7 linked regions of the Coturnix japonica genome follow. The protein of the gene in region 6 purifies or fractionates together with the protein of the main gene of each other region. This does not show direct contact. Links are inferred from orthologs where the notes say so. Each region holds a gene or a part of one and is shown on either strand. Other genes may lie near its edges.

Region 1 (4,110 bases), on a different chromosome or scaffold from region 6:
CAATTAGTCGTGGGTTGCTGTGGCTTAAAATGCTCCTTCAGTTACGTGTCTTAACACATGTGCCACTTTTGACAGATGGCTGATGGCTGCACTCAAGTTTATCACCATCCTTCCTGTATCGGTCAGTCCCAAATGAGACACAGCACTCCAGAATCACAGAATTGGTTGGAAGGGACCTCTAGAGATCATCAAGTCCAACCCCCCTGCCAAAGCAGGCTCCCTACACCATGTCACACAGGTAGGCATGCAGGCGGGTCTTAAATATCTCCAGAGAAGGAGACTCCACCACCTCCCTGGGCAGCCTGTTCCAGTGCTCCATCACCTGCACTGTAAAGAAGTTCTTCCACACATTCGTGCGGAACTTCCTATGCTGTACTTTCATCCCATTACCCCTAGTCCTATCCCCATGCACTGCTGAAAAGAGACCAGCCTCACCACTATGGCTCCCACACCCACAGAAGCAAATACTTGACAAGCAAAGGAGAACTGCATACACCTCAGTGCAGGATATACCGATATCTCATGTTTAGCCCACTGTCCATACAGATTCTCAGGTCAGGACAGGACTCTTCAGCAGGATAATTCCATAACATCTCACTTCCCAGCCTTTACCACATCAAGTTACACTTCCAGGTATAGGATTCAGACTTAATTTTCAAATTCCTTGTTCAAGTTGATCATCTCCTTGATGATCCATCCCTCCAGCCTATTCCCAGAGGTTTCTAACATCTCCAGCCTTATCTGTGTCTGCTTTCACTAAACCACTTCTTCCCCTTAGCAGCAAATTCACATTTTCCTTCACTCACCCTTCCTTGGCAGTTAAAAAGCTCCAGTCACCCTCGATGATGTCCTTACAGGCCTCCACCCCTTCATCTTTCCAAGCTGCCTCTCCCAATATTTCAGTGATGTGTTGCCTGAATAAGCTGAGTCCCGAAGTCTGCTCTCCCAAAGTCCCAAAGCACGTGCTGTGCCAGGGGAGGTTCAAGTTCAATACCAGAAAATGTTTGTTTTTTTTCTTGGAAAGAGTGGTGATCCATTGGAAAAGGCTACCAAGGGAGGTGGTACAGTCACCATCCAGCACAGCCACTCAGCCCTTCCCCACGCCTTGCACTCAGTCCCCACAGCACGCTGCAGACATACAAGCAGGTGGAGCTCTTGCTACATACCTCATGGACAGCACAGGAGCAGACCTGAGCTAGATGACCAGGTTAACTTGGTGCTTAACATCACCAGAGTCTGATGAGAGGCTGATTGCAAATAGTGCACTCAGGTCTGAGAAAATACCTGAGAGGGAGAGAGCCCTGGACAACAGGGCACTGTAAAGAGTCTCTGTTGCCCTATGGTGTCCTGGGAGCACCCTATAGAATCTATAGGGCCCCAATTCCTCCGTTACAGCATTTACGGGATCTCTATGGGAAATGGTTTTAAGTTAAAAGAAGGAAGATTTAGGTTGGATGTTAGGGGGAAGTTCTTCACTAGGAGAGTGGTTAGGTCCTGGAACAGGCTGCCCAGGGAGGTTGTGGATGCCCCGTCCTTGGAGGTGTTCAAGACCAGGTTGGACGGGGCCCTGGGCAACCTGATCTAGTAAAGGTGTATGTTTGGCGGCCCTGCCAGGCAGGGGGGTTGGAACTACATGATCCTTGAGGTCCCTTCCAACCTGGGTCATTCTGTGATTCTGTGTGATTCTATGCTCCTATACTCCTGAATGCTCCCCCCACAAAGGCTCTAGAAGGCCCTGGGATCCCCCCTACAGGGCCCAGAACACAAACCCAACCCACAAGGCCTATAACACCTCTATAAGCCTCACGAGGCCACTCTGCCTCACAGCTCCCCATAGGCCTCGGCTGCCGATGCCACTTTCCGACCATCCTTCGCTGCCTTCCCAGCTTCGGTCCCAGCTTCACCACCTCCTCCTTGTCCTTCCCAATGGCCCCCAGCAGCTCTGTCTCCTCTTTCTAGTTCTGCATTTTTTGTTTTTGGCACCGTGTCAACTTGTTCTTTGTAAAGAGACAGAACCGAAACTGTTTTCTCTTTTAAAACAGCTTTTTAAGGGATTACATTTCATCACGTTCCAGATTTTAGCGCTTAAAATGTACTGGGTCTCTATTAAGTCCACCACTCAACTCTCTGCAGTCATATGTACCCATTAATTAGAAGCACTGGTGGTGAAGCACTCCTATTTTGGCTGGGAAACCAAGTTTTAAATCAAACCTCTCCACTCTACCCGTAAAGAGACAGGGGGGTTGGAACTACATGATCCTTGAGGTCCCTTCCAACCCGGCTCATTCTGTGATTCTGTGTGATTCTATAAAGAGCTACATTAGAAAAGCTCTATCCTGACGTCCTCCCGCTCCCAGCAACCCGCAGCGCCGTCCCTCCCCACACACCCCTCCCTCCCTCCGCAGCAGGATCCAAGCCCCAACCCAGCCCATCCCAGCCCCGCCCTCTGGCCGTTCCCAGGCTGTATTTCCATCCCTATTCCCCGCCCGCTCCGTACCGCGCTCAGACGCAGCGTGTCCGGCCGCAGCGGCCTCAGGCGCTCCCACTTGGAGGCGGCGGCCATGTTGGCGCGCCCCCTCCTCTTCCTCCTTCACGCCGGCGGCGGACTTCGATGAGACGGCAGAGCACTCAAAACCCTACCCGATGTTGCTGGGGGCCCGTGCGGGATAAAGGCGCCTCCATCCCCGCCCCACCTCCGGGTGGAGGGGGTGCCGGGGCCGCCTGGGCTCAGCGCTGCGGCCGCTCCTACCCTCCCCCACCTGTGGGCGGCCGGGCGGCGGATGGAGCGTTTGCGCATGCGCGCACCTGGCCAAGGTGACGCAAAGGCCGAGCACCAATCCGGTGCCGCGGGGATTTCCCGCTCTCTCGCAGCGGAAGCGCCGTGTGCATCGTTACCTCAGTGCCCTCATCACTGAGCGCTGTGTGGGGGTCAATGGAACAGGCTGCACAGGGGGATGGACGAAAGACTCAACATGAGCCAGCAGTGCGCTCTGGGAGCCCGGAAAGCAAATGGGATCCTGGGCTCCATCAGGAGAGGGGTGGTCAGCAGGGATAAGGAGGTGATTGTCCCTCTCTACTCGGCTCTTGTGAGGCCCCATCTGTTGTACTGTGTCCAGGTGTGGAGCCCTCAGTACAAGAAAGACATGGAGATTTTGTTAAGGGTCCAGAGGAGGGCCACAAAGATGATCAGGGGGCTCCAGCACCTCCCCTATGAGGACAGGCTGAGGGAGTTGGGTTTGTTCAGCCTGGAGAAGAGAAGGTTGCGGGGTGACCTCATTGCAGCCTTTCAATACCTGAAGGGAACTTACTCCCAGGAGGGGAGTAAACTCTTGGAAAGGGCTGATAATAGCAGGACACGGGGAAATGGTTTTAAGTTAAAAGAGGGAAGATTTAGGTTGGATGTTAGGGGGAAGTTCTTCACTAGGAGAGTGGTTAGGCCCTGGAACAGGCTGCCCAGTGAGGTTGTGGATGCCCCGTCCTTGGAGGTGTTCAAGGCCAGGTTGGACGGGGCCCTGGGCAACCTGATCTAGTAAAGGTGTATGTTTGGTGGCCCTGCCAGGCAGGGGGGTTGGAACTACATGATCCTTGAGGTCCCTTCCAACCCGGGTCATTCTGTGATTCTGTGTGCTTCTGTGACACATCACTGATACCTAAAAACACACACTTTCTTACGGGCAACATAATGCTCTCTAAGTATTCAATAGCAGAAAGTACAGTCCAATAAGGAATGAAGATTATCCTCTTGCTGTTATACTCAACTGGAGGCATATCTTCTCCAATTGGATCGATTTTCGACCCACCACCAGAGGGCGGTCATTCCATTTGCTGAATGGGATGTTTTAACATTCATATAACCTACAACAATGATTTCGTTAAAATTTTCTGGTTTCAAATGCAGTCTCCCCTTAAATGAAATCTTGCAGCTGGGCTTTCCTGTAGATGCATGTGTGCAATTGCAAAGATGAGCCAAAGCTAATATTGTCCTGAAAAAGTGAATAAGTATGAAAGCATTAAAGACAAATTATACATGTAAGTATCATATGGATGCAAGTATCTGTCTATATTTTTGTATATCACAGAATCACACAGAATCACAGAATGACCCGGGTT
Region 2 (3,500 bases), on a different chromosome or scaffold from region 6:
AAGGTAACTCATATTCACCTCTACCCAATGCTAAGCTCTACTGCTAATATACACTTCATTACTTGCTCACGTCACCATCTAACACGTATCTTTACAGACTTCTACGTCGTGCCCAGGGCTTATTTTTCACCAAACGGAATTTGACAACTATTACACTTCGGAGTTTTTACTGAGGATTCTTGTGTTATTTTTTTTGGTCTTCTAGCCTTTTCATTGCAGCTTACAGTGATGTTCATAGTTCAGACCATTTTCCCACACTAACTCAGGAGAAAATCTTCAGAAGGTTTTTTCCCCTTAAAGAATCTAAACTCATTCAGATACAAAACTGAAAACCAGAGGTGAGCTTGGACGCATCTCGGTCACTGTAAAATTGTTTCTGCTACTTCAAAATGCGTTTTAAAATCGTAAATAGCGCACTTAGCTTCTAATTCAATATCTTGCAAAGAAACATGAAAAATAAGCCACTGGTCATGGATCCTAAGGATTACATTCAAAGCTAGCCTTTAAAAAAAATAGAAAAGTTACGGGCAAAACATACTGTTTTATGTACTCACTAGCTTATTGCGCTACAATAGGCATGGTTTAGGTATAAAAAAAAAAGCAGACAATTCAGATTTAAATAAGACTATGTGAAATCAGAAAAAAAAAAAAACCCTTAGATTTCACTATTTAAAAAAAGAACACCTAGAATTACTTCCCATCCTATAGCTACAGTTAAATCAACTAACAAAAATAATCAAACTATTTTTGACAAACAAGAGTTAGGCTAGAATAAGTGGCAACAATCAAAGTTCATATATGTTTCTATGTAAAAGGACTCATGATTTACTATAACATAAAATATGAACAAGAGCACTTCATGGCTAATGAAGGAGCTACTAGTGGAAACACCTAATGCCAGTTTTCAGCCCTCCTTTAGGTCGTATCTCCAAATCAGTATTGACTTCATTTGACCAGATACATCATTTTCGGCTTGTCACTCCAGTATGTCACGTTTTACCACTTTCCACAGGCAGCAGGAGACAACTAGCTGAGCAAACTACAAGCAGTGACATGCAGAAATTTACTCTCAAATCTGAGTACTTAGATAAAAATGATATGCAAGCGCACACTAGGACAAAAGGAATGGCATTCGTCATTCAAATAGGCTCATCGTTCCCTCCCCCACCCCCCAACAGTAGTTGCAACAGCAATAGAAAAAGGTCAAGAAGATGTCTGTTCTTCAGAGTCAACTGTGGAAAAAAGTCAGCAATATATAACAGCAGCGATGGACAAGGAAGAGCAAAACGAAAGAATCTTGCTGAATATTTGTTCATTTACTTTTTCTGAACACAAGCCAAAGTGTGCCACACTGGCTTGCTCTGAACTTCAGATACAGATGTCCTATTCTCCTTAGATCCTTCACAGATTTAGAATTCAGTCTCCCTGAGGCCCCTATAACCAAGTAAGAAAACTCTCTTTATCTAGCTTGGTGGCTGCCAAGACAGATTCCATGTCATTTAAGATGTCAGAGCTCAAAGCCTCTTGCAGACTTGGCATCAGTTCTTCTCCTTCTATATTCATCCCATCTCCTTCCAGTGTCCCAAGGTCCACATTTGTCCCTGGAATGGCTTCAAGGTAGTCTGGGAATCGGTTCTGATGGGACGGTATGTTACTTTGGCTGATACTGTCACCTAGTTATAACAAAAAGCAAGATGGATGTTCAATTTACTGGAAGTACCAAACCCACAATTAATCACAACTGGTTAAAGGTTAATCCTGGATCCTTTGCATCACTCAAAAACTGTGATTCATAGAAATTCATCACAAAAACTAAAGATGACTTGGCTACATGCAGATGTACGAAGAACTTGCCTTTGTTTCAAACTTTTCATGTCTTAACCTGAATCTTTACAGATCTTTGATCTTTTAGCATGTTTTAGTTTTTATGCATAAAAGACAATAACAAGTCAAATATAATTTGGGAGCAACATTAGCAATACTGATTAAGCATACTTATATAATAATAGTATAGTAATACTGAGTAAGTTCTTAGCTTAGAACTTTTGCTTTCTTAAGAAAGCAAATGGGTATTCAAATTCCATATAGCTGCAGGAATTATTCCCTTTATGAGCCTTCCAGTAGAATTTATTACAAGGATGTTTTTCACAAATTTAACTATAATAGTTCTGCAATAGAAATAGAAGGAGGTAGTACAAACATAACCCCCCCCCCCCCCCCAAAAAACATTGGAGCTTTTCAGAATCACTTGTTTTCACTGCAAAGGGGCTGAGCATTTGATACCAGCACGACTGAAAAGGGTGTATTAAGGAGAACAAACCTGTATCCATCTCATCAACACTGTTCAGGAAGTCATCGGGGGTTCTGGGTACACTGTAACTGCTCATGCTAAGTCCGCTATCTGTGCTTTCATCTCTGGAGTGATATGTTCCACTGTAACAGAAAAAATGCAACAAAAATGAGGGTAGAGCATCGGAGAAACTAAAATAGTTGCACACCCCAGTGCAGGGGTTTTGATAACGTGGCTGTCACAAGAAATGCTCCGTTCTAATTAAAAGCTGAAGTCTGTGTGAGACACCAGTTTTTCATTTTACACTGACCTTTCCCAATGAAAACCACAGCACTGAGGTTCAATTTAACTCAGTAAGAACATACCTAAGCAGCTTTAAGAAACAGCCTATCGATGTTCCACACTGTTTTAAACTTTTCACACCCACCCACAGCTAAAAACCATTCGAAGCATATCACAGTCCTTAACCATTACAGAGCTAATAATGGTGTACATTTCACACTTCAGTAAGGATTAGGAGCATTCTAACTACTAATGTCCCCTTGTTTAATCAGCCACCAAAGTGCATTTTTAGGTCAGTGCTGTTATAAATAGGAGCTACAGTTGGAACTCTTTTAGCAATTCTTCAGTTGCTTCCCGCTGTTGCATTACTACCAGTTCAGTCGTACATGTCATGGCAAGAGGGCCCTGATATAAATCAAATCCTGTACAGAAGCCATTCTGTAAACAAATCCTGTTCAGAATGATCTTGCTGACAGAACAGTTAGCAAGATGGCACAGGGCCTTACGTATATTAGTTTTCTCGCTGCCATCTTACTACCAGTGGAGCAGACAAGACCAAGGGAGCTGCAATGGAAATTTGGGATGGGACTGGGAAGAACAGGCCAATCAGATGACCTACAATCAGCTGGGGGGATCCAGTTTACAGTTGACTTTCTTATAAGTCACATAAACTATTTCTTTGAAAGTAGAACAATAAGAAACGTTTATATACAACAGTGAAAATCATTATCCTGACTGGAATAATTATTTCCAGAAGCTGGAAGGAGCTGCTACTTGTTATACTTAGGCATACATCTGAAAATATTTTGCTGTAATAGCTGAAAGGATGCAAACAGCCCCACCAGTCAAAACGGTCACAAGCGGAAGCAGCTGTAGAACTACACCATTACCTCCCTCCTCTTCTGTCTACTAACAGCCAAGCTTCAAC
Region 3 (4,102 bases), on a different chromosome or scaffold from region 6:
GATCAAAGTGTCCTCCTCCCTGTCAAACCAGAAAGAATACAACGCCTTCTCTATTTTGCGTTATACAAACTACAGACATGAGGTACACGGAAACAGTAGTAAGTGCAGAAATACAAGACCTTTAGGACGCATCCTGAGATGGAGCAGGAGGATCTTTATTCTCGGGCTCTGGAGGAGGAGCTGGCACGCTTTCCTCTTTCTTTTGTGCAGCCAAAAATTCATGAATCGCCCTCTCTATCTGGGGCCTGAATGTGTGGTTGATCTTTGGGTCCACAACCTGAGAAATAATTCTGTCCACTCCAGCTTCCAGCATTCCTGACCTTGAACAAAGACAAAGAAGTCATTCAGTTCCTCTGAAAAACTTCTCCCCAATCTCCTCCAGTAACTCTCTAGAGCCCTGCTGTCAACTGCAATTAGCATTAACATGGTGAGAACTGCAACCCACTCAGAAGATCCTTAACAGGGAACTGTTTCAAACACCTATTTCTCCCCAACCCCCTCACAGTTCTCCCCATAGAATTAATGACTGACATCTGGTCTTCCAGGTACTTACATGGTATATTGGACAAGAACCACTTTAATAGGGCTTATGTGGAAACGAGGTCAACACATTTTGCCACAAACAAAAGAAACAAACTATTCTGAGGAGGGCAGCTGAGAGCAGTCTTTTTTTTTGGCTAACTTGAGGGAGAAAAGGCCTTCTCCCTACTAACATTACTGTCACTCACTCCTTGTAACTGTTAGTCTAGACGGATGGGTATTAATTAAACAAACAAGCACACGTAGCACACGGCAACGTTTCTGGAACTCAGCATTAAAAACTGAAATGACTTATTGCTTCAGGGGCTGCGTCAGACTCTTGGATTGCAGGGCACAGGCAGTCTAGAGGGCTTAAGTCATGTCTGCAAAGGAGCAGGGGCCAGGAAATGGAGACAGTGCCTGGTGTTTAGCAAAGCAGCCACAAGACTAATAATGCTGTGGATACTGGTGAGCAACTGGGTGCAGGGTCACTGCACATCATGTCACCTCCAAGTAAGAAAGAGCATGTGTGTACGTGCAGCCAACAAAGGGCAGCTATCTAGAGGCATGCCTTGATGGCCTGCAGCACTCAGTCTTGTACTCGCAGTAGTGACGTGGACTCTTCAAACTCCTATAGCTGCTTGTTTACTCTCTATACCAGTAGTCTATACAAAGTGAGCACTTTATCTTCTACAGACTCTGATACAACATTTTTCTATTGCCATTTCATTTCTGTGGTTGATTAGTATGAAATAAGAGGAAGCTTGAAGTGACAGAAGCGCCAAGGGCTTCAAGTATAGACAGGAAATTCTGTACTTGCAGTGAATATTCTCTTCTATCATTAACGAAGAAACACTGAAACTAACATTAAATACTATTGTTTCACAGCATCCATCAAGAGAAATAGCTTCTTCTGTGTGCAAGGCTTTCTAATAAATTTCTTTACAAGCATAATTGCCATTATAAAGTTCATTACTGCCTTCTCCCTAGAGCTGTGATGTTCTTATCCATGACCTTTAGCCAAACAATCTAAGGTTTATACTTCAGGCTATGATGAATTAGCAGCAAGAGGTACAAAACCTAAATGTCTAAGCAGGAGAGTTCAATCAGGCTTTCCTGTTGTGCTAGAAGCATATCTTCTAAAGCTGAAAAAAGCCATCCATTTGCTGCAGGAAATCAAGCCAGCCTAGTTCCATTACTGCCTGCTAGTGGCTGGAAACAACAACAGAAGGTTGTTATGCAAATTATAAGACTTCTGTGATAGGATAGATTGTTGTGTATTGTTTATCAACGATACGGTAGTACACGGAATATTGCTTACTTACTGAATCACACTCTGTCTTAACCCATTTCGTAACTGGTTTTTGTTCATTGCTGGATTCCATTCCTGTTTGTCCAGATGGGTTGATACAAAGTTGTCCACCTTCTGCCTCAAATTTTGATAGGCTGGCTAAAAAAAAGAGTAAAATCCCATTAAGCTGGTAAAAGATCTCAAATTCCTTGCCAGAATCTTTCCTGGTACTTCTTTTGTTGTGTACACCACTGTTTTGTTGTCCATATGCTCCATCCCTTCACCTTCTGAACAAAGCTAAGCCTGTACTTACCGTAAGTGGTAATTGCAAAGAACTGGTTGTCACAGTAGCGTTACAATAACTGAATAGGATAGTTAGGAAGCAGGATAGGTTTCTTTAATAACTGCTGTCTGCTCATAATGTTACTCAGTGAAATGCAAGCTGTGTGTGCAGCCAGGTGCAAAGGAATTTCATCATTTAGACACATGTAGTGATGAATGTAACATAAGTGCAGTGACCCAGGCTGCAAAACCAGCCTGTGTGTCCCTATCCTTCAGCGCTGATCTCACCGTGGCAGCCCTATGGCTGCTTCTGGGGTGGTTCTACAGCTGCAGGGTGTCCCAATGGGGCTCTGGCTGAACACAACTGGAAGTTTAAGCCGTATTACCTTGGTGTCCACATCGGCCAGGCAATCCCTGCGGAATCCATCGAACAGCCCGCGGCTCTTGAGCTGCTCCACGATGATGGCGATGAGCTGCGCGTCTCCGGGCGGCAGCGAGGCCGGGTTGGTGGCTCCGGGCCCGGAGCTCGATGTTGAACCTCCCGAGCTCCCCGCTCCGCTTCCACCTCCCGCACCGCCGCCTCCTCCTCCTCCTCCCTGGGCGGATCCACCGGCGCTGCCGCTGTCGGACATGGCGAACGGATGAACCCGAGGCCCAACAACGGCTGCGACCGTCCACGGCGGCGCGCTGCGTTTTGCGTAATGCGTGTGGGTTCGCTCTGCTCGTGGGAACTACATCTCCCAGAGTGCACCGCGAACGCACGGTGGAAGGGGAGGAAAGAGTCTCTTTCGCGATGCATCTCGGGAAATGTAGTTCGGTTGGGTCGGGGCCTTGCCCGCGGCCTGCACCGCCTGGAGGGATACGAAAGGCGGCCCCCGGTAGAGGGCACCCCGAGGCCGTCCCTCGGCTGGGCCCTGTCACATCGCATTGAGAACACAGCACAGAGCCCCATAGGGGCTGCCAGGGCTGAGCTGGTTTAATGGGAGGTGGAGGTGGAGGTGTAGATATAGACACAGGGGTTGGAACTGGACTGTGTTGCAGGTCCCTTCCAACCCAAACCATTCTATGATGGTATGAAATGACCTAAAGGAAACACTGCCCTTAAACCACAGGTTTAAACAAAAATCCACCTGCATCCATGACACGGGGCTGTGGGCCCCACAGGGGCCCAAGGCCGAAAGGAAAAAGTTAATTAGGAAAAGAAAACAGCGGCAATGATCTAAGGAGGCACACTTATTTACTAAAATACTATATTGAAATACAGGATAACACAATCTAATACAATATAATTGAAAATTGAACCTTTGTCCATTCCATATAGTACCATTGGTTCCATATGATTGATAAGGTTTCTTCCTTAGGTTACATGTGACTCACTGGACACTGGGAGGATTTAGGAGCCATCATGGCTGGAAGAGGAGAAGGACCATATTCCTCTCTATGGGTTTTCCAGCTCCTGTATCAGTGCTAAATGACCAACACAGTAGGTGGTTTTCCTTCTCCTGGCAACCTCTGTCCACAAAACCAGCTGCCAGTTGTGGACTCCAGTTTCTAATGGTTTTATCTTACCAATGATCAGACACAGAGATCCAGGGCAGGCAGTGTTAGCTGGGCACTGCAGGGGATAATGGGAACACTGCAGGGAAGGCAGATGAAGCTTTGTACACAGATGTACTCTCATACACACATAGTCTGCAAATTAGAGCACTGAGCTGGGACCATGATTTTCCCATTGCCTATGTGTTCTGCGTTTGGGAACAGGGTAAGGAGAGAGGGCAAAAAAAGTCATTGTTAGCCCCAATGGAAGATTAGACAGAGCTCATTAAGTGTAGAACCACTGGATGGCTTGGTTTGGAAGGGAGCTCAAATACCATCTAGTTCCAACCCTCTGCCTGCAGGCTGGGCTACCAACCACTAAATCAGGCACTATGATGCTCAGGGCCCCATCCAACCTTGCCCTACGCAGACTATCTCTTCTCTGAAGAAATTTTTGCTCATAAATCCAACCAC
Region 4 (3,500 bases), on a different chromosome or scaffold from region 6:
ACTCTTATTCATAGAGGACAAAATTTCCTTGCATGAAAGCCACATATATTTTACATGCATCTGTTTCTTATATATTTTAGATGATACTGAATAACTACCACTTTTTTTACTAAGTCTGAATTACCAAACCCAAACTACCTCATCAGAGTTGACATCTCAGCTAAGATGCACATGATTTTTAAGCATTAAAATTGAACATAAGAGGGTGATTTTATTACATCAGACATCAGATGTTAACAAAGCAAGAAGGCTCACTGCATGCATTAGAAGCCCTGAAATATGTCTGGCATCCCTCTGTACTGCTCTGATAGTAACAAACAAGTTAGACAGGGACAATGTTTTAAGCTTTTCCTTACTGTGCTGGCTTGTTTTGACAGCTTACATCAAGATGATACAAAAAAGTATTATCCAATACACTGCATCTCTCTACTGCTAAACTCCTCTGAGATATGCAAAAACACACTGTGAATACTAAAGTTGTACACACTGAAATGTACAAGCTGTTGTTTTCATCCATAATATATATTCACCTCAAACACTGTATACCTGTGAGTACCTTACAAGATTTGCATTCTGATTTCAAGGATCCGTTTGGGCGTATAGGAAAAAAAAGACAATCTCCAGTTCAAGAAGATGGGAGGTATCTTGCCTCAGGAAGGTATTCAAACACTGACACTTTTAATGGTATTATCCCTGCAACATTTGGTTTCAACATTACAAGCCTTGAGGCCAAAAATTTATTTGATGTATTTGTGAGCCATAGCTCTAATGAACATTCTTCATACAGTCAACTTGGTATCAGCATGACAGAATGGGGAGAAGACAATGGAACTTGAGCTAGATAAACTGAAAAATTATTTATGTTTCAAAGTTCTATCAAGCTTCAAATAAAAATACCATAATGGAAAAAAAACTCAAAATTCCAACTACATGATCATACCTAAAGTATTTTTCAAGAAGAAAATAGGTTATTTGGGGTATGCTTAAGTGACATGTACTTCTAAGAAACAGAGAATCAAACTAGTCTTCATTTGCTTTGGCTTATCTGGAGCAGGTGAAAGCAACAAGATGTTTCACGCCCTACTGGGGTCAGCAGTTAAAAAAAAAAAACAAATCACCACCTCTGTGTCTCAAATTTCAGCCAACGTGTGACAAATCACAAATGAAAAACTATTTTTGAACTAATACTTAGTGATTGTTAAAGTTCAAGGAATGATTGGATTTTTACATCATTCAGTTTTGGGAGCTATTTAAGAAAGATCTGAACAAAACTTTGGAACATATGATCTCAAGTGTGCCATTAGTTCTCCTATCAGCTTCCTCTGAAGCATGTGAGATTATATGAGAAGTAGTCTGGGTCCTATCTAGTACAGTAATCACTACCTTCCTCACCAAAGTTTGGTTGTGAAGTTTGCTGATTAAAACAAACAACAGAAAAACAACAACAAAACATCACAAAACATGAAAGGGCCTCGTCTTTTAAAACAACCATAGTGAAGAAGAAGGTAGCAGAAAAGCATGAAGTAAACTAAAGCAGGAAAATTATCAAACAAAACTGATTTCACATAAATCTACATTCTGATTTCACTTGCAGTATCAGTTTTTATTCAAAAAAAAGCAGGCTAATCAAGTCTTAGAAAACAAGAACACAAGTGCTTCCACATAGTTTACAAGAGGTAAATGCAAAAGTCACCTTAATGTACTGTTGAACTTGCATAGGTTCAAATCCTGTGAAGAGCACCATTGGCGTCAACTCTGGTGTAAGCTTTTTAGTAGGCGGTGGTAGGTCTTCAATCCTACAAAACGCATGAAATACAGCACAATGTAAGTCCGAGTGAAACACTGTCTTACTTTAAAAACAGACAAGCACACTCCTGCAAATTTTAGGAATGAAAATACAAAGATGAATGAGAATCAGGCAGGATCAATCTTCTAGATAAAAAAAAATTGTTATGCTGAGAACAGAGCATTTTCTCCTGATTCTGCTCTCTCCCAGTTCTCTTCCTATTCTGCTCTTTAGTTACTATTCTATTTCAGCCTGTTGAATAGCTGGCAATATGCAAAAAAAAAAATGCTACTAGTTATTTCAATTAGCAGGGCATGGCATGGAACCAGAATGCTGAGCAGTTCACAGTTACAAGGTACAGTAGTGAGGGACTATCGGCACTGATTGTTCTTACCTGGCTCTTTTGGAAGATGGCTGAAGACTGGATTCATTTTGCTTTGGTTTCAAAGGCAACCTCACACCCTGAAAAAAGACCATCTGTATGTTTACACCTGAACTGAGCAGGGAGCCCAACTTCTATTCTGAAACAGGAGAACTGTACAGCAGCATTCTGAGATCATACTTCAAACACAGAAATGATAAAGACATGCTAGAGAAGGCATTAAACACACAAACTCCTTAAAAGAAAATTAAGATTCCTAATGGACTATAATACCAATTCACAGGGGACTGCAAGTGTAAGACTGTTTTGAAGCTAAAGTCACAGTAAGAGACACAGAAATAGTGGCTACTTTTAAAGCTGAAATGTAGTAAGTCAACAAATTATACTAATACTTTAAATTGGATCTGGGTACTAATTAAGTTATTACAATTATTAAGCACCTGTCTTTAGGAAAGTATACAGATGGACTGAGGTATGCAAAAGGCTAGATCGAAGCATTTTTGTGTAATATAAAATGTTATTGTGTTAGATATTGACTCCAAAATACAAAGCCTCTTCTAAAGGTCTTATGTAAAAGCAAAGAGTTAAGAACTAGGCCACGATATTTCCAAAGTAATTTTGTATAATACGCTGCAGTTTCTTAGTTCCACAAAAGATTATTTTTAAGATTTATGCTAACAGACAACTAAAAGCAAGTGCCACCAAGACAGTTTGTGTGGGTTCTTCAGGCAGGTCTCCTCACACTAAATGCACACGTGCTCAGATGTGAAAAACACTATGCAGCAATCTAACACAAACAGCTGTATAACTAAACATACCATTAGAAGTTCTGGTGATACCTTTAATGGGACTCTCCAAGCATCTACAAAACGAAGAACACCACAGAAGTGCACAATTATTTATGGTAAGGATAAAGATGCTTCTCTTGATTAAACAGGTTTATATAAACAAATGCTACAGATCATAGAATTCTGGGACACTTACCCAGCAGGTTTAGAACTAGATGTTGACTAGGAGAAAGTGGATCTTGAAGACTGAACACTGTATATCGACTGTGCTGTATCTGCCGTAAAGCTTCAAAATTTCCCAGCAGTATGTCACAAAGCCACTGTGCATTTACACATGGTATTCTCCATTCTTTGGCTTTCTCATACTTCAAGCCACTGGGTCTTATCATTCAGAGATGAAGAAAAAAGGTTTTAATAAAACAGATACATAGCATTTATACTTATAGACTTAAATATCAGTATTTCTTTGTTGGCCAGTTATCTATTTTAATAATAAAGCAGGCAAAAATACTTTTGCTCTACATGTTAAAACAAGCAATATCAA
Region 5 (3,500 bases), on a different chromosome or scaffold from region 6:
CTGCACGTGCATTCAGGCACCTGTGGGGATGTGCACTTTGCAGTCACTATCCATGTCAACCCTCTTAAGCAGCTTTTAGCTACAAATAAACCTACCGCAGCTCTTTCTGCTTCTCTTTCACGCTCACGTTCTCTCTCTCTTTCCTTCTCTTTTTCCTTCTCTCTCTCCCTTTCCTCTCTGGCTTTCTGCTCCGCTTCCCTTTTGGCCTTTTCAATGGCCTCTTCTCTCTTCTTGGCCAGTTTGGATCCTGCCAGAGGCATGAAGTACAAATCTGCTCTTGAGCAGGAATTGTAGCCACGGTCCAGGTGCTTATAGAACCTGAGGGAAACAAAACAGAAAGAAATCAGTTCTGGAAAGGTGGAAGTCTGAGGTTTAAGAGCTACATGTCAAGGAGGAAAAGTTATCACTGTACACTTTCTGAAAGGGAACGAAAGGAATTAATTGTGCCATGTGACAACACAGACAAGCAGAGCACAATACCCCTCTCACAAGTACAACCTCCAATACCCCTGTCTGAAGAAGCACCTTCACAGAGAAGAACAGCAAAGCCCTGATTAAAACAAGGGCTGACAAGATGCACGTGTAAAACACATTCACATCTTACTGAAGCTGATTTCTCACATGCATTCAGAAGTCTTCTGAGCCGACAACATAAGGACAACAATTAGGAGAGAAAGGAGAACTCTAACCATGCAACATTTGCATTTCAGCTCAGGAAGCCTTCCTGCAAGAACCAGGAATGGGAGGCAGGAAGATTCACTTATCTCCCTTAGCTATCTTTGGGAAGGGTGGAAGGGAACACAGCCACTGCTTAATGCAGGGGGAAGTCCCTAACAAAGTATTTTCTTGATAAAAAAGAAAGTAATTCCACTGTAACAAGCAGGAGAGATGCAAGCTTTTGGGTCCTGCTAAAGAGAAGTGCACCAAGGAAGCACTGCTGCCAACCTCCATACCTGGCAGACTGGCTGGCATGACTCGGTGTATCCACCACAGTTGGTTCTGGGGATGGACTCCGTGGTGGAGGTGGGGGGCTTTCTGGTTCCTCAGCCTCATCGGGGACCTCCTCTTTGATCTGGATAGGTGGCAGCGTGCAGGACGTCACCACTGGCACGCTCCCACTAGAAGCTGCTGACGTGGAGATGGAAGTCTGAAGCGGGATGCCGGGCACGGCAGGCGGCGTGGAAGTGGAGGGGCACGAAGGAGAGGTGATGGATGGTGGGGCTCCGGGCACAAAGGGATGCTGAGAAAAGGGGGGCTGCGAGGATACCTGGTGGAGTCCAGACGGGGGGTGAGCGGCGGATGGGGGAAGGCTCTGACTCTGGGTCAGGACGGGAGGCTGGGCTTGCGAGGACTGCAGTGGCTGGCTCTGGGGCATCAGCTGCAGGGGAGGAGGATGCGCAGATGGAGGGTGGTGAGTGGACAGGGAGCTCAGGGGTTTTAGAGCTGGTGGCGGAGGCAGGTTGGAGTTCATTGAGAATGGAGAAGGGCCGGAGAGATGAGGAGGGTGCTTGTGGGATGGAGGGGTGGGAAGCTGCGGGATGGGGGTGGTGGGGGGAGGTTTGATGTGAGGCATGGCCATGGGCGCGGGGGGCAGTGGCTGCTCCCGTGGAGGCTGGGCCTGCTGCAATGGGGCTGAGGCCGGCAGGGTGGGCTGAGACACCTGCAGTGCAGAGTGGGAGTGAGATGGAGCTTGTGTCTGAAGGGGAACCTGAGACTGAGGCGACTGCGTGGGGAGAGAGAATGGCTGGGGGGGTACGGGATGAGGCAGCAGGGGCTGTGCCTGCAGGCTGTGCGGGGCAGGCTGGGGCTGAGTGTGCAGCGGAGGCTGCGAATGGGGCTGCGACGAGGCTGGGGTGGGCTGGCTCTGAGATGCATTCAGAGGCTGCAGGGGCGGGTGGGGTGATGGCAGTCTCTGCGGGTGCAAAGCAGGGGCTTGCTGGATGTGGGAATGAGGAGGAGGCGGCGCGGGGGCCTGGGGCTGGCTGGGGGCCTGGGATGCTGGTGGTGAAACCTGTGTCGGAGCTGCAGAAGCACTCGAGGCTGCTGGCAGCGGTGCTGGCAGCTGGGCTGGGATGGGGGGCATGGGAGGAGGAGCCTGGCCGGAGCTGCTGGGTGCCTGCAGTACTTGGGGTTGTGCCTGCAGCACTTGCTGCTGAGCGGATGAATCTGAGTCGCTCTCATTGTCTTGAGGGCTGTAGACGCTGGGTGAGGTGCTCCTGTTATCCTGGTCGATGTCCTTGGGGTCGCTGCTCCCTTCGTCGTTGACGCTGCGGCTGTCAGAGCTCTCGCCTTCACCCTCACCCTCCGAGGGAGAGTTCGGCCTGCTGATCTCCTGCGGGAGAAGGAGAGACAAACAGGTGTGCGTGAGGAACTGCATGCAGTGTGTCACACAGAAGCATCTGGGACACATGCTGAGTGACAAAACCACCCCCTGAATCTCATGGGACAAAGCAGCACAGGCAGCACCACCACAGCACACAAGAGTTCTGGGCCCCCCAGAACCAGAGATGAACACATGGGGAGAATCCAATGTAGGGCTCTGAAGCTAAGTGCAGGGCTGGAGAAGATGCAAAGAGAGCTGGGGCTGCCCAGCCTGGAGAAGAGAAGGCTCAGCCCAGCTACTATTAGATTATGACAACTCCAGAGTTGTTCTAACTTGTCAAAGAAAAGGGAAAGCCAAATTTCAATTAAAAAAAAACATCTGAGGCGTGTGGGGGGGGGAAATAAACTAAGTAAGTTCCTCCTGTATTGCCTAAGTATAAAACAAACAGACTCCTGAACTTACCCTATGTTGTTCCACTGCTTTCCAACAGACGGAACACATTATAATACGGGTTGCTTTCTAGCCACAGATTAAGTTAAAATTTGCTGTGGCCTAAATTGGTTTTGTGTTCAGGGTTTGTTGGAGGATTTGCGCTCCCTCCCACACTCAAACTGTTCCCAAAAATGAAAATATTTCTCCAAATACTCACTTGAGTTTTGGATTTTTTGGCACTGGACCTTTCGGGCTCCTCTGTGTCAGACGCCGCCTTCTCCCGCTGCCTCTTGGAATTCTTCAGAGGGGAAGATACCTCTTCTTTTATTTTCTGCCACAAACGAAGCAGAAGAGAACAGTTACCAGTGATGTAAACACAGAAGTAAATGAAGCACAAGTCAGTGCTTTCATGCTGAACACAAACAAGGAGGGCTCCCATGGAGCAGGAGAACTTATCAGAAGTTGAGATCTCCAGTATTTAACACCGAGCCAAGTCAGCATTTGCTCAACTTCTTATTTTTTCCTGTCCTACAGAAAGGCCATGGATGGAGCCCTCCTGCTAAGAGCCTGAAATAGTTACTTATTTTTAACTTGCTGCTATTCAATTTACAGTGCTTAATGCAAGCTTCTTTCTTCATCTGCCTTTGTTTCATCAGTGCTTGCATGGAAAAGCACTTAGTGAAACAGCCTAAAGTGTCAGCTAGCTCTGAAAAACAAGTAAATTGCATACAGCAAAACAGTAACG
Region 6 (4,147 bases):
CTTCTCCATCCAGTCAGTTAAGACAAGTAGTTCTACAAGGCCCGTATTTGCATTCTGTTGATGTAAGAAAGCAATACTTACAGGAGCTGGCTAACCACTCTCCATTAGGACTAAACTTTACAGATGATACCGCCTTCGTATGTCCCGCTAACGTGAACTTTAGAGCATAATTTGGTTTCACTGGTGCAGGCTGGAAGAAAAATACATATGAATGAGTTGAATAAATTCCCAATTTAGTTTCTCAGTGACAAGCTCAGTATCAGACGAGATCAGCACACATGAATACATACATTCACCTGAACAGATTCTACCATTTACATTCTCTCCCCCCACCAAATTCAACAAGCCCCCACTGGAGCCAGAAGCACATTACAGCCACGTGCCACCAAACTCATCCTGATCTGAATTCCCTTCAAGCCTGCAACTAACAGATGACAGTAACACAACAGTTCGAGCACAGAGTGTTTTGAGATTAAAATAAAACCTCTGGTGATGGTTTTATACTCTGTGTATAGTACTATGAAATGCCTGTAGTTCTATTCCTTGCTCAGAAGCAACCACAAGCCAACTCCCCCAGGCCCCTTAAAACTCTATTTCAACCAAATAATCAACCTAGCACTAAGCTGTACTCAGCCTGCTTTTCCCCTACAACCTTCAGCACACTTCCCTCTCCATACAACAGCAGAGGCAGACGTATTAAGAAGTTCTTAATGCATACTTGATTCAGTTCTCTAATTGCTGTTTGCCTGGTGCACGTGCAGGTATGCACCATGTGCATTTACGCAGGCATTGTTCAGAGCTCCCCACACACACCTTGCTCTGATTGGTTGAGGAGGAAGGAGTCGATTGTGTTTTGGTGGATTCTGCATCTGGTTTCTTTTCTTCTGTTGCCATGGTTCTGAAGCCGGCAAATGAGACCTACGGTGCTTGAAGGGGGAGAATGAACGTGCTGCTTCACAAGGCAGCCCTTGCCACGGGGAGAGGAACAGCGCTGCTAGAAACAAAACCCTGGAAGAAAAAGCAAACAATCACATTAACCATCAAAGAAGGATCAGAGGCAGCTAAAGGAACAAGATCAGCTTAACTGCAGGTCTGCAGAAAACATGATGAGGAAACATATTGTACGCCTGCTCAGCAACATGCCATTTTATGCCTACAGGTCTATTAGTGGTCTATCAAGAACCCAAATACAAGACTTTGATCAGCTCCTGCACAGCGTTTTTTGCTGTGTTTTGTACCAATCACTACAAATAAAGCAGAGTAGCTCTTAGAGGCAGTGGGTTTATCTTATATTCCTTGAAACATCTGTACAACACAGCAAATACAACACCTTATATATAAGGCATTTCCAAAGCTTAAAACCACACCAGGTTTGTTTTATTTTTCCATTTCCTATTTCAAGTACTTTGGTCTAATACCTTCCCCCTAAATGCTGTGAGCACCATATCCCTGCTTGAGAGATCCCCCTGCCTAACAGCAGCCCTGCATTAACCTCACCAGATCTGCTTTCTGTAGCAAAACCTGAGCAGTGCTGTGCTGTACCCTGCAATCAGGGCTGATGCTGCAGAGGGAACAATCACGCTGCAGTTCAGCTTCATTTCAGCAGTGTAACAGAATAACCCGCAGCTCACATTGTAAGGATTTACAAATCCTTTGCTATTTGCAATATCCCATCCCAAGCACAATCCATTTTGCTTGTGGCAGCAAATCCAAGAGGAACAGCATTGACTTTTCAAGCCACGATGCACATCTTGTCCTCAGGAGGGCACAGAGCTCAGTGCCACCAGTTGCAAGCTTTACAAGCACAGTACAGACTCCTTACTTACTGTTAATACCAGCAACTCCAGCTCTATAATCCAGATCTAATGCATTTCAACCTGAACTTATATGGGAACTTGAGCAAGCAACACAGCTTACCCCTTGCACCTCCTCATACAAACCTGAGCAGCAGCACATGGCAAGCTTCAAAGGGCCCTGGCTGCAAACACCCCTTTCTCACCACACCCAGGGGGGAAGCTCGTGTAAACTCAGCTTGTAAGCAAGAAACTTCCCGAAGGCTTTAGAAGCAGCAGCAGCCTGCAGGAATACACAGCCTGCAAGGATACACAGCCTGCAAGGATACACAGCCACGTGTGTGCACGTACATAGGGCGTGCACACATCCACAGGGCTGCACGCTCTACAGCGAGGCGTGGAGCAGCACAGAGCAATGGAGCTGCAGAGCAAAGCAATGGAGCTGCAGGGCAAAGCAATGGAGCTGCAGGGCAAAGCAATGGAGCTGCAGGGCAAAGCAATGGAGCTGCAGGGCAAAGCAATGGAGCTGCAGGGCAAAGCAACGGAGCTGCAGGGCAAAGCAAGGGAGCTGCAGGGCAAAGCAATGGAGCTGCAGGGCAAAGCAACGGAGCTGCAGGGCAANCTGCAGGGCAAAGCAACGGAGCTGCAGGGCAAAGCAAGGGAGCTGCAGGGCAAAGCAATGGAGCTGCAGGGCAAAGCAACGGAGCTGCAGAGCAATGCAATGCACACACAGAGCAATGCAATGCACATACAGAGCAATGCAAGGCCGCACGCGGCCCCCTCTCGCCTCAGAGTGAGGGCGGTGGGGGAGGGAGGAGAGGCGGCTCCCCACACGAAGCCGGAGCTGAAGGAACCCATCCAGCCGGGCTCCATAGTGACTTACCGAGGGAAGGGGAAGGGCTGGGTGCACACCCGGCACCGCCGCCTCCTCCTCCTGCCTCGGGAGGGGCGGAGGGGGGACACGGCGGCGGCGGCAGCACCGGAGCCGCCAGGCGGGGAATGTGGCACTGCGCATGCGCGATGTAGGCCAAAGGCTGCACAATGCCGCTCTCTCCCATGAGCGCTACGGTGCGGCCAGAGGGACAAAAAGCATCAGTGGGGGCCGTGCGCCTTAAAGGGCCACGCGCTTCTTTTTTCAGCCTGCTTCCCGCCTTTGGAAATGGCTCTGTGCTGAAGGCCTCCATCCCTCAGGTGTGTGCTCGCTGCCCTGAGGAATGAAGGAACGAAAGCACTGAAAATTCATGCTTAACCCACAATATTGTGAGGAGACTGAGCTAATCCGTAAGGTAAACAGCACAGCAGGCCACGTAATGCTGTTATACCGAGGGTAGGTGTGCGGCCTAGCCCTGCCTAGGGATATATTTAGCTTCCATTTAGCTTGCATGCAGATTCTCCTCAAATTTCAGTGTTTTTCTGGAAAACAGTGGGTTTTTTTCCGAACTGCTTTCAGTGAGAGGGAAGAAAACCAAGAGACACGTGTTATGTGCTGGCCCTGTAACACAGGAAGATCTGCGGGCTCCAGAAATGCTGGTGGCTGCTGAGAAAGGAAAAAAGTGATGGTGTAATGAAGCCAAGGCCCTTCTCCAGCTTGGAAACCCATAGCTGAAGTCTGCAGCTTTAACCCTGCCCTTTACCATGGGGGGAAAATACAGGCATGGAACTGTGAGAGATGCTCCATCCATCCTATGCTGTTAGGGAATAAATCCAGTTCTTGCCTTGGTGTATAGTCTTCATTCTGGAAAGAAAAGAAGACTAAATACCACAAATCAGCAGGGTAATGCTATACATTCATGCAGCTTTCTTGTGATAAGGGTAGGTGTTGCTTTCACATAGGAGACAAGAGCCTGTATTTCTGTACTGTGCCTCCTCTCGTTGTGGAAGCTTTTTTTGCCTGATATTTCATATATATTAATCTATATCTATACTGAATGATACCTTTCTGGAACTGGAAACTATAGTTTCCAATACAAATGGTAATTGTAATCCTAAGCAACCCCTTAGCCTCTGAGTGTCCTGGATTTATCTTTAACAAATGTCATAAATAGAGAATCTGCACGGACAGCCTGTTGTCTTTGGATGAAATTGAACTTGTGGGTTATGAGTCATCTGTGAGGGTCCTTCTTGCTCCGCAGGCCATGCTGCCACAGCTGGGATCAGCAGGATGTGATCTCTGTCCAAATTCCCTCTCTGTGAAAGACTGGGCCTTGGCAGGCTTCTCTCTCACAAAGTCTTTCATTCCTTTTGGTTCCAAATAGCCTGAACTTGGTGATCTGCCAAGTACATTGGAAAAGACACCTGTCTGTGAGGCTTCTGGGGGGCGAGAAAAGCTTCCCGTAATGCTGAAAAGGAAAGAA
Region 7 (3,500 bases), on a different chromosome or scaffold from region 6:
TTCTTGAAAATATGCTCTAGTATTGTTAGTAAAATAACTGAAGTCAACACCACTAGTCTTACTGTGAACTCAAAATAAACCTTTCTACTTTAGAGAGGTTATTTATTGCAGAGGCAGCTTAGTTGGCAAGTCAGCCAAAGGCAGCAGGTACTGTTGCTAAGAAATCAACAGCAATGCTGTACACTTGCTTTTTATTTTACCTTCACGCAATTTAAAATACAGTAATAAGTTCCAACCTACCTATCTGTCTCAGTGGTGGGAAAAGAGCATTCAGAGTCTTCACACTGGGGTCTGAAGTAGTGCTGGTGGAAGATGTAGTTTTGGGAGCTGATGTTGTGGGCACCTGGACTGATGGTGTCCCAGAAGCATTGGATGCTACCTTGGAGATCACAGTACTGAGGGTTGACTTATCAAGTACTGTGGGTCGCAGCCTGCCTGTGGCATAAGCAGCTAGCCGACTGGCGGGATGTAATGCCCCCATCTGTCCCAAAAGCAGTTTGGCCTGAGGATACCTTTTATCATTAACCTGAAAAAAGTGGAAAAGGGAAATTTTGTGAAAAGAATGCTAGTTCACCACCTCTGGAGAGGTGTTTCATTCCACAGGACTTCTAAGCGTCCTCTTCAAAAAACAAAAACAAAGAGCCACATTACAGTTCAGAATGGGAACTCCTAATTTCCCTGCTGCTCAGAGTAACTTCAAGCAACTCTGTTATATCATTGTAATACAGATATTAGATGCTGCTCAAGACTCTCACACAGAGCCACAGAGTTCAAAGGAGCACAAGAAATCACTGAAATTCAGTAGAGGGAAGCTAGCACGCGTTTTTCTCTCCTACTTACACTGCAGTCCTGAGTTAAGAGTGGTTTTCCAGATATGAGGACAGTTTTAGATAGAATTCTCTAAGCTATGAACACCTGACAGTACAGAAGAAAGAACACATACATACACATCGGGACAAAACTCTAAGGACTCTGCAAAAGCTCTGTCAGCTTTCTTTTCTTGTCTGTACTGTATCATAAGCTGACCAACCTCACATTGAGATCTGCAGCTGTAACTGAGAGAACAAACAAACTTTTCTGGATACCAGGCTGTAAGCCTAGTGGTAAGCAGGAAATTTCATACTAATTTGGTTGGCAGTATTGCATTTTACTTCCAGGCTGCTCAGTAGTAGCCTCTAAAAGGCACTTATTGTAACACACCGTAATGAAAAAGACCTCTACTCTTTAAAACAGGAAGTCTGCCTCTAGGCTGCTCTTTCTGCAAGCTTCTCCCTGGGAGAGCAAAGCATCTACAAAGCATTACACAAATGCACTCAATTTTCATTTTCTAATTCATACACCTCCAGTGCAAGTGGTGTTACTACGACCACAAAATATCCTTGAAAAAGAAGAGATCCTAGCCCTACAGCTCCTGCCAGCAATCCCTAATAGCACATTGGCAGCATGAGACTGCAGAGAAATGACATGCTCTGAATTTCAGTCTCTTCATCACTAACATGTACTCAGAAGACAACACGAGCTATTAGTCAAGACTAGCAAACTGAATAAAAAGCAATTTAATGTTTACGGTTTCCTTTTAAAGTTTTGTCCCAGTGAATACACCTACTCTAAAAATACTCTTTCTGCGGCTTCTGACAGCCACTTATTCAGAAGTGTTAACTGTCAAATGCATCTGCAGGGAGTTTTCAAAAGCTCAGAGATCTTGAGAAACATTCTGCACTTGCGCCACCAAGACCTAGAAGGCCAAAAGACCAACCTAAATCACCAGACTTCAGACTTGGAATCAGATGTCCTGTTAAAAGGGACAAAGTTACAGAGAGGCAGAACCATCACTGGATATGAAGAAATCTTGTCCGGACAGTAAGAAGACTAGGTTGACAAATTAAAAGAGTGTTTGCTCTCGTCTTTAAGGGGTTCTATGATACTGGATGAAACTGAATCTAATCTCCACAGTAAAGGCAGAGGGACCCACCTGAATCAAGCCTGAGTGGCTCATATTAGCTTTGCGTTTGTTGACAACCAGCTTTCCTGCAGGAGAAATTCCTGCATAAAAAGGCAAGCCTTTGCCCCCATGCAACTTCTCCCGTAGCTTGTCCAATGTGTAAGCCTGAAAGGACTTTACATTTTCTGCTTTATCACATGATGGCACTCCACTATCGGGAGTCTCCAAGTCTGGTGACTCAGGCTTCTCATCACTGTCCTGGTTGGATGGCACTGAAATTTTCACTCTGGAGGAGTTCACAGGAGGGTTGTCTGCATCCTGAGCTTTGTGTTCCGAATCCAATTCAATAATGAGGCTACCAACTTTGAGGCTCTGTGGCATGTTACTGTTGATGTGCTTTGATAAGATGGTCAAGATCTTATCGCAATCTTCATTCCAGTTGCAGTCAGACATAATCTCGATAAGTTTGGATGGTGCACATGGAGTGGTGGGATGAACACAGGAGGCGGAGGAAGAGTCCCCCTCACTATGGGAAGACCACGAACTTTTCTCTGAGAAAGAATTGAAATAGGTTTCTGCAATACTGTGGCATTTTAATCACCTGGATATTCAAAACAGTTTTACTCTGCCCACCTCCACCCTTGTCTCAGCTGCAGGGCAAGTAAAAAGAACTGTTCAAAACATCACTTCCCCTTGCACAGGGGAATTCATTAACTTCCACAGTTAATTCAGTGTAGCCATACTATCTCAGGTTGTATCCCGTAGCATCTCATAAGCTAAACAAAGCTGGACCGGTTCAGTGTGTGGATGTAACACCTCCAAGCAACATCAATATGGAAAGCATCACTCATTATTCCAGAGATGGTACTTTTCTCTTGGAGTCAGAAAAGGACCAGCGTCCAATAATGCTATTTCTGACAAATAAGCCACTAACAGAACTGTCTTTTGTGGAAGATGTTTAACAGAAGTACAACTTTTTGCTGTCATTGGAAATCCAAACACCACTTTTTGCAAAAGTATAAGGATGTTGAGCCCTGTGTCCTGGTCATTGTAATTTTGACATACCAATTCAGTGTTTTCAACTAGTTGTATTATTTTTCCATTCCCATCCTTAAACACAGAATGCTGTTGTATACATTAAACAGTGGGAAAAAAAATCAGCTTAAAAGGGCAGCTGTATTTCATTAGTGGATGACACAATGCCTTGAGTACGTCTCATTTTAAGAACTGCAACATGATTTGGGCCATTTCAAACAGAAAGCGACAAAGATGCCTAAACCTTCCTCTTTATGAGTTACAAACTCAAAGCCACATTCATACATAATGTACTGCAAAAATTCAGTTCAACCTTTCAACTTCAACTAAAATAAACCAACATCAAACAGCTCCATATAAAGTAGAGGTACTTCTTTGACCCATACACTTCTAAGTGAAGAACACGAGGGTCCAAGACTCACAGAACCACACGTAAACTTATTACTTCTTAAGTAATGAAAAAGTAATGAGAGTAGGGAAGGAACCCTCTGATTTCCATTCCTTATTAAGTATCTAATTACCA

What was found.
Region 1: the proteins of WDR5 (region 6) and E2F6 purify together in Homo sapiens (affinity purification with mass spectrometry; 4 studies listed by BioGRID and IntAct, counting the BioPlex papers as one, with this or other methods). This does not show direct contact. The link is inferred for Coturnix japonica from reciprocal best matches to the Homo sapiens genes WDR5 and E2F6.
Region 2: the proteins of WDR5 (region 6) and YAP1 purify together in Homo sapiens (affinity purification with mass spectrometry; 3 studies listed by BioGRID, with this or other methods). This does not show direct contact. The link is inferred for Coturnix japonica from reciprocal best matches to the Homo sapiens genes WDR5 and YAP1.
Region 3: the proteins of WDR5 (region 6) and BOD1 purify together in Homo sapiens (affinity purification with mass spectrometry; 3 studies listed by BioGRID and IntAct, counting the BioPlex papers as one, with this or other methods). This does not show direct contact. The link is inferred for Coturnix japonica from reciprocal best matches to the Homo sapiens genes WDR5 and BOD1.
Region 4: the proteins of WDR5 (region 6) and PAXIP1 purify together in Homo sapiens (affinity purification with mass spectrometry; 7 studies listed by BioGRID and IntAct, counting the BioPlex papers as one, with this or other methods). This does not show direct contact. The link is inferred for Coturnix japonica from reciprocal best matches to the Homo sapiens genes WDR5 and PAXIP1.
Region 5: the proteins of WDR5 (region 6) and RERE purify together in Homo sapiens (affinity purification with mass spectrometry; 5 studies listed by BioGRID and IntAct, counting the BioPlex papers as one, with this or other methods). This does not show direct contact. The link is inferred for Coturnix japonica from reciprocal best matches to the Homo sapiens genes WDR5 and RERE.
Region 7: the proteins of WDR5 (region 6) and MGA purify together in Homo sapiens (affinity purification with mass spectrometry; 5 studies listed by BioGRID and IntAct, counting the BioPlex papers as one, with this or other methods). This does not show direct contact. The link is inferred for Coturnix japonica from reciprocal best matches to the Homo sapiens genes WDR5 and MGA.

Annotation. Positions count from the first base shown.
Region 1 is NC_029518.1:88,734,210-88,738,319, forward strand, and holds the start of E2F6 (transcription factor E2F6), read right to left. Parts: upstream 2,801-4,110; 5' UTR 2,564-2,800; coding exon 2,498-2,563; intron 1-2,497. UniProt on the Homo sapiens protein: Inhibitor of E2F-dependent transcription. Binds DNA cooperatively with DP proteins through the E2 recognition site, 5'-TTTC[CG]CGC-3'. Has a preference for the 5'-TTTCCCGC-3' E2F recognition site.
Region 2 is NC_029516.1:163,400,871-163,404,370, forward strand, and holds part of YAP1 (transcriptional coactivator YAP1), read right to left. Parts: intron 2,434-3,500; coding exon 2,321-2,433; intron 1,674-2,320; coding exon 1,435-1,673; 3' UTR 1-1,434. UniProt on the Homo sapiens protein: Transcriptional regulator with dual roles as a coactivator and corepressor. Critical downstream regulatory target in the Hippo signaling pathway, crucial for organ size control and tumor suppression by restricting proliferation and promoting apoptosis.
Region 3 is NC_029528.1:11,214,381-11,218,482, forward strand, and holds the start of BOD1 (biorientation of chromosomes in cell division protein 1), read right to left. Parts: upstream 2,801-4,102; 5' UTR 2,725-2,800; coding exon 2,479-2,724; intron 1,970-2,478; coding exon 1,845-1,969; intron 321-1,844; coding exon 122-320; 3' UTR 120-121; intron 1-119. UniProt on the Homo sapiens protein: Required for proper chromosome biorientation through the detection or correction of syntelic attachments in mitotic spindles.
Region 4 is NC_029517.1:6,810,911-6,814,410, forward strand, and holds part of PAXIP1 (PAX-interacting protein 1), read right to left. Parts: intron 3,338-3,500; coding exon 3,153-3,337; intron 3,031-3,152; coding exon 2,987-3,030; intron 2,249-2,986; coding exon 2,181-2,248; intron 1,797-2,180; coding exon 1,694-1,796; intron 1-1,693.
Region 5 is NC_029536.1:2,582,241-2,585,740, forward strand, and holds part of RERE (arginine-glutamic acid dipeptide repeats protein), read right to left. Parts: intron 3,087-3,500; coding exon 2,973-3,086; intron 2,333-2,972; coding exon 954-2,332; intron 319-953; coding exon 96-318; intron 1-95. UniProt on the Homo sapiens protein: Plays a role as a transcriptional repressor during development. May play a role in the control of cell survival. Overexpression of RERE recruits BAX to the nucleus particularly to POD and triggers caspase-3 activation, leading to cell death.
Region 6 is NC_029532.1:5,717,867-5,722,013, reverse strand, and holds the start of WDR5 (WD repeat-containing protein 5), read right to left. Parts: upstream 2,801-4,147; 5' UTR 2,677-2,800; intron 1,009-2,676; 5' UTR 895-1,008; coding exon 814-894; intron 191-813; coding exon 82-190; intron 1-81.
Region 7 is NC_029520.1:22,380,097-22,383,596, reverse strand, and holds part of MGA (MAX gene-associated protein), read right to left. Parts: intron 2,494-3,500; coding exon 1,973-2,493; intron 527-1,972; coding exon 241-526; intron 1-240. UniProt on the Homo sapiens protein: Functions as a dual-specificity transcription factor, regulating the expression of both MAX-network and T-box family target genes. Functions as a repressor or an activator.